Caenorhabditis elegans: one gene and its partners. The protein of the gene in region 1 interacts with the protein of each later gene in a pairwise test. Each region holds a gene or a part of one and is shown on either strand. Other genes may lie near its edges. The genes, in order: tatn-1, gldr-2 and Y71G12B.27.

What was found.
Region 2: the proteins of tatn-1 (region 1) and gldr-2 interact in a two-hybrid assay, tested with the Caenorhabditis elegans proteins (one large-scale study listed by BioGRID).
Region 3: the proteins of tatn-1 (region 1) and Y71G12B.27 interact in a two-hybrid assay, tested with the Caenorhabditis elegans proteins (one large-scale study listed by BioGRID).

What each region holds. Positions count from the first base shown.
Region 1 is NC_003284.9:14,789,107-14,792,862, forward strand, and holds the start of tatn-1 (Tyrosine aminotransferase), read left to right. Parts: upstream 1-1,901; 5' UTR 1,902-1,952; coding exon 1,953-2,060; intron 2,061-2,193; coding exon 2,194-3,279; intron 3,280-3,336; coding exon 3,337-3,537; 3' UTR 3,538-3,756. UniProt on the Caenorhabditis elegans protein: Transaminase involved in tyrosine breakdown. Converts tyrosine to p-hydroxyphenylpyruvate. Has no transaminase activity towards phenylalanine.
Region 2 is NC_003279.8:15,034,201-15,037,956, forward strand, and holds the start of gldr-2 (PAP-associated domain-containing protein), read left to right. Parts: upstream 1-1,808; 5' UTR 1,809-2,064; intron 2,065-2,168; exon of another isoform or gene 2,169-2,174; 5' UTR 2,175-2,176; coding exon 2,177-2,303; intron 2,304-2,352; coding exon 2,353-2,464; intron 2,465-2,519; coding exon 2,520-2,706; intron 2,707-2,750; coding exon 2,751-3,070; intron 3,071-3,538; coding exon 3,539-3,756. Other genes in the region: F33H2.3 (Acidic leucine-rich nuclear phosphoprotein 32-related protein 1), read left to right, coding at 332-928, 984-1,076.
Region 3 is NC_003279.8:1,796,856-1,800,517, forward strand, and holds Y71G12B.27 (Cyclin-dependent kinases regulatory subunit), read right to left. Parts: upstream 1,868-3,662; 5' UTR 1,791-1,867; coding exon 1,647-1,790; intron 797-1,646; coding exon 584-796; 3' UTR 580-583; downstream 1-579. Other genes in the region: Y71G12B.5 (Apolipophorin), read left to right, coding at 2,862-3,060.

The DNA of each region.
Region 1 (3,756 bases):
AAAAATAACTGAATTTTACAGCATTCACATAATAATACTCGTACCAAGTTGGGGCAATTGGAAAAACACATTTTTCAATCTTAGTCTTAAAATAGTTATATTTGTGCTAACTTTATTAATGTTTAGGGGTACTACACATGAACCGTTTTTTCAGTTCAACACAATTTGATTTGAATCAAAATACTCCAAAACTGTGTACACATTTGCACCGCAAAAAATGTACCTAAAAATGTTCTTATCATGACTATTTACAAAAGATCAAAATATTTCCTGCCAGACGGTTTGCGAACATGGGTTCATTTCTGTTTCTTTTTCCGATAACACTTTCTTTTTTCATTGCGTAGAAAATTAGTTCATTTCATGAAACTAATAACAGGTACACCGATGATGTTATATTTGTATTTTAAAGAACAAGAAACCAATCATCAAAACGGACGCAAACAGTTGGGTGCCCACAGTACTGATTATTGTTTTCCCAGTCTAAAATTTTCAGCCAATTCAAGAACTGTCATGATATCGTGGCAAGAGTATGATTTTTGGCCACCGTGATCCGAATCCTGCTGCGGAAGGAGACAAGAAACCAACTACGTAAGACGGAACTTGGTCGTGGATGGATCCTTACAGTAATCCCCAGAAAGCTTGGAACGACTCTCAAAATTTTATTGTGGTGTTTTTGCATTTGTAAAACAGAAACTAAAAATCAAATACGTCCCACTTTAGCTGAGAACACTTCCCTAACTGATAGATCAAGTTACAAATGCGTGGGAATATGGGTGATCTATCAATGAGTGAACTGATAGACAATATTGTAGAAAATTTCAAATTCGATATCTGATCTCAGAGACTTTTGATATTCAGAAAATGTCATAGTTTGATTTCTAAAATACAAAACAGAACATTTAGTACACGCTGACAATAATAGATCATCGCAGTGATCTCAAAATAGAAACCACTGAGAACAGGTACTAATAGTAGACACCCAAGTGCTTACAGTACCAGGAATAACTGATTGTGTAACGCGATACAGATTTTCGGCCAGACAATGCCATCATATCATAATGACGTGGGTGTGTGTCGACTACAAATGATCTTTAAAAATACACTTCTTATCTTGATCTCGTCTATTTCTATTTTCACGATGTCTGACGCCACTTTGTTTGGTTTTTGTACTCGATATGAGATGTTCACTATACTTTTGTTCGCCAACGTCGTCGCACCGAGAGTGAGAGAGACCACCCACACAGTTGCAACACAACCAAGTTTTATCTGGCGATCGCATCTGGTCTGACGACCGACCCCATTCATCTTTCGTCATCTTTATGCGTATGTCATCATGTTTAGTCAACGTGACTATCGCGCCACGTGTATGTCGATGTATTTTTAATACCTTGTCGCCGCTGCTGGTCGGTAGGAGAAGAGAGAGATAGATGACAGGCCAAGCGGAGAGAATAACGAGAAGACGACGATGAATAGAGACAAGGACAAGATGATACGATACGCAGAGCGTGCTTGCTGGGAAATGAGAAGAAAGCGTGGGAACCTGTATGGTGCGACTGGCTAGACGCAGGGGTGACAGTAATCACCACGCGACGAATTGACTCCTCCTTCAATTAGCGATCAGTCGCGTGCGGCATCGAAACATTATCAGTGGGGGGCGGGGTTCCAATTCGTACGTTCACAGATATAAAAGTTGGCTCGTTTCCCACTGTTCCAGCATATTTCCAAACACACTTTCTACAGCTCTAAACATACGGACTACATACATTTCTTAATCAATTATGACTTCTTGCCCTAGTTCCGCTTTCTTTTAATCTTTTGATATCGTTTGACTTTTTTATGACTACTCTTGATTTTTATAGCAGCACAAATCACACAAATCATCATAATTTGCTCTTTTTCAGATAAAAAAAAAGCGTTGCTTCAACTGGTCTAGGAACAGAATACAAATCAAAATGCAAACTCTAATGAGTCACAGCCGTATTACCCCACTTCCGGGAGCCATCACCAAGGAAGAAATCAAGAACCAGCTTTTGGTGCACGAGCGTCGCTTCTTGAGCAAGGTAATTACATGTTTTGGCTCGCAATTGAGTAGGCGTGCTTTTAATTTTACCCTGTAGACTTTCGTGTATAAATATTCCACCCAACTCCCCCAAAACTTCATTCACTATCATGTCTTATTATTTATATTTACAGCCAAACCGCAAGGATCAGTGGAACGTTCTCCCACAATCAGCTCACTCCAAGAACACCGTCAACCCAGTCCGCAAAATTGCTGATGCTTGCGCCGTACCTCCACACCCAGAAAAGAAAGTCATCAAGCTTCACCTTGGAGACCCATCAGTAGGGGGAAAACTTCCACCAAGTGAGATCGCAGTTCAAGCGATGCACGAATCTGTCAGCAGCCACATGTTCGATGGATATGGACCAGCAGTTGGAGCTCTTGCCGCCAGAGAAGCGATTGTTGAGCGATATTCCAGTGCCGACAATGTGTTTACAGCCGATGATGTCGTTCTTGCCTCCGGATGCTCACATGCTCTTCAGATGGCTATTGAAGCCGTTGCAAACGCTGGAGAGAACATTCTCGTCCCACACCCAGGATTCCCACTTTACTCTACACTCTGCCGTCCGCACAACATTGTTGATAAACCATACAAGATTGACATGACTGGAGAGGATGTCAGAATCGACTTGTCTTACATGGCCACCATCATTGACGACAACACCAAAGCGATCATTGTAAACAACCCTGGAAACCCAACTGGTGGAGTCTTCACCAAGGAACATCTCGAAGAGATTCTCGCATTCGCCCACCAATACAAGCTTATCATCATTGCTGACGAAATCTACGGAGATTTGGTATACAACGGAGCTACCTTCTACCCACTTGCCTCCCTCAGCCCAAAGGTCCCAATCATCACTTGCGATGGTATTGCCAAGAGATGGATGGTACCCGGATGGCGCCTTGGATGGTTGATCATTCACAACCATTTCGGTGTGCTCACTGACGTTAAGAATGGAATTGTCGCCCTCTCACAAAAGATTGTCGGGCCATGCTCGCTAGTACAAGGAGCTCTTCCAAAGATCCTTCGTGAAACTCCAGAAGATTACTTCGTCTACACCAGAAACGTTATTGAGACAAATGCCAACATTGTTGATAGCATCTTGGCTGATGTTCCAGGAATGCGAGTTGTCAAGCCAAAAGGAGCCATGTACATGATGGTCAACATCTCCAGAACAGCCTATGGATCTGATGTCAGCTTCTGCCAAAACTTGATCAGAGTAAGTTCGAACAATCAAATTGTGGAAAACTCAAACTAATTCTGTTATTTTTTTCAGGAAGAATCAGTGTTCTGCCTACCAGGACAAGCTTTCTCCGCCCCTGGATACTTCCGAGTTGTGCTCACTTGCGGAAGCGAGGATATGGAAGAAGCCGCACTGAGAATTCGAGAATTCTGCTACCGCAACTTCAATCAACACTCTGATTCCGAAGACAGCTCCGATGAAGGACTTGACTTGAGCGCGATGGAGTCGGATTAGATTAGTTAGATCAACCCACCAACATACACTTCTAGTCAACAAAAAAGAGAAGCTGTGCTTCGTAATTTATGTGCTAAATCTAAACCCAATCCCGCGATTGCCTCGGTAATTGATTATTAATTACCACATTACCAACCCCTTTCTTTCTCCAAAACCCGAAAATCTCATGACACGATCCCAAACACTTTTTTAGTTTTATTTTATCTAATTAATTGAAAA
Region 2 (3,756 bases), on another chromosome or scaffold:
GTTCATTGTCATTATAGAATCGTATATAAAGCGAATAGAATCAGTCTATTCGCTTGGAATTTTTAACATAGCCTTCCAAAATTTGCTGCACCATCGTTTCATTGATTTTATCCGTGTTTCTTGAGTCATTCGTGCGTGATGTAAGAAACTGGACTCTAAATGGACTAAGCATTTTTATACTGATTGTGACCGTCTAAATAGCTTTTTTTATTCGACTTGTTTCCAATTCGGAAAGAAACTCCATTTTCTGTTCGATTTTTTAATTTTCTCTCTTGTCTCTTACATCTCAACTTTATTTTAATGCCTCTACCTTCAGACTACATCCTCAATCATGCCGTCTATGGCCGAAATCTACGTCAAAGAGCTCAGAGAGAGGGATCCAGCTACTGTCGATACTCTATTCCTCGACAACGCTGAAGATGGACAAATCGGAGGACTCACCGACCAGCTTATCAACTTGGAGATGCTCAGCATGGTGAAGTGCGGACTCACCACACTCGCCGGGTTCCCAACTCTTCCAGCTCTTACCTATTTGGATATCAGTGACAATCAGCTTGGAGACAACGCTTCGTTTGATGTTCTTGTGAAAAATGCTCCAGATCTTAAGAAGATCACACTCGCCAGCAACAAGCTCTCTTTGGATAATCTCCGGTGCTTAAAGGTTCTTCCAAATCTTTTCGAGCTCGACTTGTCGAATAATCCAAGTCTCGGACTCCTCGAGGACTATCGTGAGAAGATGTTCGAGATGATTCCATCGCTGAAGATTCTTGATGGATGCGATGTTGATGGAGAGGAAGTTGAGGAGGAGTTTGCCGGTGAGGGAGGAGAAGACAGCGAGGAGGGAAGCGGCGATGAAGATGGACCCGGACTCAGCTATCTCGAGAAGAGCCAGTTCTCCGACGACGAGACTGACGATTATGCTCCAGAGGTTAGTTTTCGGACTCATATTTCAGAAACGTATGTTCTTAATTTCAATTTTTCAGGGAGGAGACGCTGAACCACGTGGGACAAAACGTGGAGCTTCTGATAACGGAGAAGAGCCAGACAACAAGAAGGCAGCTGGCGACGACGAGTAAACTTCGACGCCTACGGACTCATCATCTCAACCTAATATATTTATTTCAAATATTTTTTCCAAAAAAACTTCCCTCATTTTCTTTATGGCTGCGCTGTACACTAAACCCCAACTTTAATGATCTGAAAAACTGAACCCAAACCACCAGACACTGCAACAACTTTTTGATGAATAAAAAATCTTTAACATTAATCTATCGTTTTATTTTCTTTTGTGGCTTTTGTGTGCATTCTATACCATATTATATTACTGAAACACTGAATTCTGAGAATGCGTATTGCGCAACATATGTATATCTTGCAGCGAAAACTACAGTAATTCTTTAAATAACTACTGTAGCGCTGATCAGATTTTACGTTGTTTATTTTCTAATTTTTTGATGAAAACTATAAAAAAGGCATCGAATTGACAAAAAACACGAAAAATTAGAGGAAAATTAAACATCGCCTGCCACAATCCTAAAAACAATTTGTTTCGAAAGTATCAGCTACAGTAGTCATTTAAAGAATTATTGTAGTTTTCACTACGAGATATTTTACGCGTCATATATGTTGCGCAATACGCTATTAATACGGATTCTCAGAATTTATTGTTCCCGTAATAGTTCTGCCTGTGTGTAGCGCAAACTTCAAAAGTCAATAAACTCGAAATTTGAAAAATTGCCAAAAACGAGACTCCGAAATAACGGGCGCGCGTGTTGTTTAGCGCTTTCAGTCCACATTACTTTTCCCCCACATTTCTCCCAATTTGTTAGGTTTTGCTCATATTTTCCCACATTCGAAGTATTGAGAGTTTATTTTTCCATAAAAGAACCGATTTTCTTCCTAAATCCAGCTGTGCGGTCATTTTTCACGTAGGCATATTTTTTCTCACAATTTTAAGGATTTCTGCGTTCTTTATCAAATGAAAGGTCCCATTTCTTCCAATTTTTAGGTTTTCTGGTTCTCTGCGTTCCATCTTTGAATGAATCTTCGATTGTATTTTTATATGTAGGTTTTCTACTTTCATGTCTAGACATGTCTCCCAATAACGTTGATTTTCTTTTAGTTTTTAGGTTTTCTGCGTTTATTTTCATTAAGAATCAAATTTCCTCTTTCAGAAATGTCGAGAAAACGAAAAATGTCACAGTCGAAAAAGCCAAGCTTACCACGCCGTCCAATTATTCAAAATCTCACATTCATGGGAACTGAATTGGGATGCCCATTGTTAGTTCAGGACATGGATTCCAGTAAGACTAACAAAATTAAAAGAAATAAATAAATATATGTGTATTTCAGTGAACAAACGTGGTGAAGAGCCTCCGGAGAACGCTGACGTGAAGCGATTCATATCGTTCGCCACAATTCCAGCGTGTTGTCTGCATTCAAAAGGAACCGGCCAAGACGCTCAGTCAGTAAATTTACATATTATTATTGCAATTAAATCAATTCTTTTTAAATTTCAGGTCCGCAGACGAGTCGGCAGGTTACGCAATGCTCGACTTTTTCAAACTTTACATCTCTAATGGATTCAGAAGTAAACTTCTCAATTGTGCAAGTGATGAAGAAGTAAAAGAGTTGATTCCTCAAGTTCAACCACTTTTTGAACAATTCAAAGCTGCAATTGCAGCTGATTTTCTGTCGATCAGCAGAGTTTGAACGTCATTTCGAAATTTTGATTTAAAAAAGTTTTTCAGTGCACTCAATTCGAGTTGACTCCAGCAGCGAGGGCACGCGGAAAAGAGCTTAAAAAGCGTGTTCTGACAAATTTAAAAAACGCGGGAGTTGGATACACAACGGTTACTCCTAAGAAAACTTTAAAAAATGATGATGATGACGTGGAAGAAGACGTGCCGAATGAAACAGTGGACCCCAGTGATGCTCCAGGATCATCATCCAGTGATGATATTGTTATCGTTAGAGAAGTTGCGAGCGAAGCATCGCCCAAACTTCGCAAGATGCGAGAAATGGACGGAGCGAAGAAGAAGCTCATCGAAGAAGCTACAATGCGCCTGGGGTACTTTAATTCTGCGATTTTTGTCAAAAATTGTAATGCGAACCCGCGACGCAGATTAAATTGCTGAAAATTCATGTATTCCCGATTTTTTCGCTGGTTGTTCTGAAATTACGGGAAAATGCGTAATTCTAGTAAAAATAGACTCAAAATATTGAGTATAGTTACTAGGATTTTTGACATGTTAGCAAACCGATATATATCTAGCTAAACTTAACATTTAATTTTAAAATCCGTTGGAAATTAATTTTTTTAAAATAAAATAAAATACATGTAATGGGGTTATTCAAGTAATATAGCAAAATGTATGTAAATACATTTGTGACGTCACAAATGTATTTAAATACATGTTTTTATATACTTGAATACAGTCGTGACGTAATTTTTCTAATTTTCCGACACTACTTGAATAACCCCATAAGGTACAAAAATTGCTGCTAATCGTCTTTCAATGAAATGCTATTTTTTTAGTGAAAACCGCCGATCTCCATCTCTCGACTCTGACACCTACTTTGGAGAATGTCAACAGCTGCTTCACGGTCCAACAGAAGTCTACTGTGCCCGTCCCGAATCGAACCAGTTTGTCCAGCAGTACGAAGAAGCGAATTCAACTGAAGCATCTGAGGATGAAGACAAGGAAGCTGTACCGATGAAGCGTGCTCGAGTGGATATAGAAGAAGACGACGACG
Region 3 (3,662 bases), on another chromosome or scaffold:
ACCGGAAATGAAAATTTCCGGCAAATCGACAACCCGGCAAATTGCCGAAAATGACAATTTCCGGCAAATCGGCAAACTGGCAATTTGCCGACTTTCCGAATTTGTGGACAAAAAAAATTGCCGAACGGGAATTGCCGGCCCCTGGTGTACTCTACGTTCAAAACAAATTTGTAATTTTTGTTAACATAAAATTTGAAATAAAAATCTTTATGCTTCGTTTTTATGGCGGCCGAGATTTTTATTCTATACGGGTTTTGTTGCAAAATATTGATTTTTATGACTTCGATTTTCATTTAATATTGATTTTTGTCGAAATATCGATTTCCCAAAATATCGATTTTTTAAAAAGCAACTTTTGTAATATATCGATTTTCGGCGCTTTTTAATTGAACATACGGTATTACTAGGGCTTCCATTCCTGCGCCGGCGAGGCGCCTTCGCCGACCAGCGAGACGCCTCAGTCATGTATAGTGCGGCGCGGAACCCCGAACGTGTCGGACGCTTCCAAATAACAGCGGCGATGGCCGGCCGGCGCGAGACGCACCGCCGCTCACCCATGGAAGCCCAAAGTCTTACAAAATATCTACACTGCTTTATTCACAAATTCATAGAAAACCGCGTTCAATTTCTCATCGGTTGCTGTCGTTTGCTGTTGCGCTCTATTGAACACTTCCATATCTCTCAACAATTCCATTTTGGCACGCTCCTCGTCGGCTTTTGTGAAATGGCGCTTCCGACGGAACAAGAGAATGTGCTTCTCCGGGTTATGAACCATGTAGTGCTCCCATCCAAGTGACTGAAAAGTATGAAAAATCAATAATTCGGCCACATTCAGAAATTTAATATTGATTTTTTTTCGTCGATTTTATGACTATCGGTTTTCTTGAAATATCGATTCTATCAACATATTAATGTTTATTTAAAACAAATTTTCATTAAAGGCAAATTGCCGGAATTGAAAATTTCGGGCAAATCGGTAAGCCGGCCAATTGCCGGAATTGAAAATTTCTGGCAAATCGGCAAACCGACACATAGCCGGAATTGAAAATTTCTGGCAAATCAAAAAACCGGCAAATTGCCGAAGTTTAAAATTTCTGGAAATCGGCAAATCGGCAAACTGCCGGAATTGAAAATTTCTGGCAAATTGCCGGAATTGAAAATTTCTGGCAAGTCGGCTAACCGGCAAATTGCCGGAATTGAAAGTTCCTGGCAAATCGGCAAATCGGCACATAGCCGGAATTGAAAATGTCTGGCAAATCGGCAAACCGGCACATAGCCGGAATTGAAAATGTCTGGCAAATCGGCAAACCGGCACATAGCCGGAATTGAAAATGTCTGGCAAATCGGCAAACCGGCACATAGCCGGAATTGAAAATTTCTGGAAAATCGGCAAACCGGCAATTTGCCGAACATGAGAATTTCCGGCAAATCAGCAAACCGGCAATTAAATTATCGGGCCGGCGTAAGGCCCACATTTCGCACCTCACTCGGCTGGGAGCCTTGCTTAATTTAATAAAAAATATTTTAAAATATTGGCTTTTTCAAAATATCAATTTTGTGAATTATCGATTTTTGGAAAAATCTATTTTTTTTAATTATCGATTTTTTTCCTAAAATCTTAACATATCACTTAATTGAAAATATACCTGTTGAACTCCAGCACGTCTCCATTCAGCCTCACTAAGAAGTCTTCCCTTTGGCACTTTTCTCGAGACGGCTTGCGGAAGAATGACGTGGCGATATTCGTATTCATCATCTTCGTAACGTGGCGAATAGTAGATATCTTCCATTTTTCAAAAACTCTTATTCTTCGATGTTAATTGTACGACAAGTAGGGAATGAATGATTGTTGAGGAGTTTTGGAAATGTTGTTGGAACAATTAGGAAGAGGGGGGGGGGCAAGGTTACGTGGACAATTCTTTTTTTTTAAATTCTGAAATGTTGTATTTATTTTACAAATCACGTGGAGTATTCCGAATATCGATGTAAAAAAAATTCAACAAAAAAATCCCTGATTTTATATTTGAGCTTGAAATCGCCGAATTTCATTTGTGCCCCCGCATAATTTTTTCAAATTCGCATTGGAGCGCGCTTGCATCGTTTTATTTACTTCATTTATTTTTCAGTTTTATGAAAGAAAAAAGAATCGCTTCATATGGTTTTTCAGTACTTTTGAATTTTTGAAAAAATAGATTTTAACTAAATTTTGCAATTTTTCAAAATAATCTTCCGGTCAAGCTAGCATACTCTTTTTGATACTTTCTGGTATTTCTGATCATGCTGAACAGTAATATAAAAGAAAAAAGAAGCACTTCATATGATTTTGGCGTACTTTTGAATTTTTGAAAAATACAGCTTTTGGTCAAATTGTGCAATTTTTTAAAATATGTTCCGGATTGACTAGCATACTTTTTTTTAGTATTTTCTGGTATTTCTGATCATGCTGAACAGTATTATAAAAGAAAAAAGAAGCACTTCATATGATTTTTCAGTACTTTTGAATTTTTGAAAAATACAACTTTTGCTTTTTTTTAACAATTGAAATCGATTGGCATTATCAAATTTTTATGAAAAATGTCAAAACTCGAAACTTTGGGGGATTCTATAGAAAATACACATTACCGAATCTAAAAGCTCCCCACACTTTCATCTTTCTTCTACGAATTTTGCAGATTTCTTGATTTTTTTCCCATCTTTCCAAATTTGATTTTCGATTCCCTGTGCTGACGTGTCGTCCCCCGCAACAATTCCCAATTCCCGTCCCTCCAATAATTCGATTATTCATAACGATCATACCGCCCATCTTGTCGCTTAAAAGGAGCCCACCATCCCGTCTTTTCCGCAGATAGTCGCCTCACAATATGTGGCTGACAAATTATTTTCTTCTCGTTTTTCTTCTCTTCAGAACTATTCATGGACTCGCCGATGGATCCGAGACCACTGTCAAGGAGTTTTTGAGCAAAGTGTCAGATGAAATTGCTACTAGAGATGCTTCCCGGATTGCTACACTATTTTCCGATGGGTTCTCGTTTCAAGGATGCAAGGGAAAATATGACAAGGGTGAGTGTTTTAGGCAATTTCCTTAAGATGTTGAAAAATTGACGGGATTCTTGAATGATCTGTAAGCTCTCGCAAAGTTATAATTAAGTAGTTTCGGTGCTATTTTGAAACAATTTAACATCTCTGTTAGGGCTCCCATGAGGTCGCCGCAACGAGTCCCGCGCCGACCTCAGCGGTAGCCGCGCCGGCCTCACGGTGTCGGCGTCACTCACGCCGCATGTATCCGAATGTATAGTGCGGCACGGAACCCCGAACTTGTCGGCCGCCAACCACAGTTTCGAACTACGTTGTGCACTGCACACACCAAGCTACTCGTTTCACGCCAAGCTGCGGAACCCCGAACTTGTCGGCCGCTCCAAATAACTACCCTTCGCACTTCGTTGCATACACACATCGGTGCGCGGAGGTCGGCGTGAGGCCCGCATTTCGCGCCTCACTCTGCTGGGAGCCCTAACACGACCCGAGAAGGGGGGCCTGTACGTAATTTGTCTACCGTATACCTGGAAGTTTGGGCGGGTTTTTTTTCCTCAAAAACGGCTGGTCGAACATTTTTTGGTGCATGTAAAAAAATGTCCGATAATAAATTCTACATTTTTTGGACC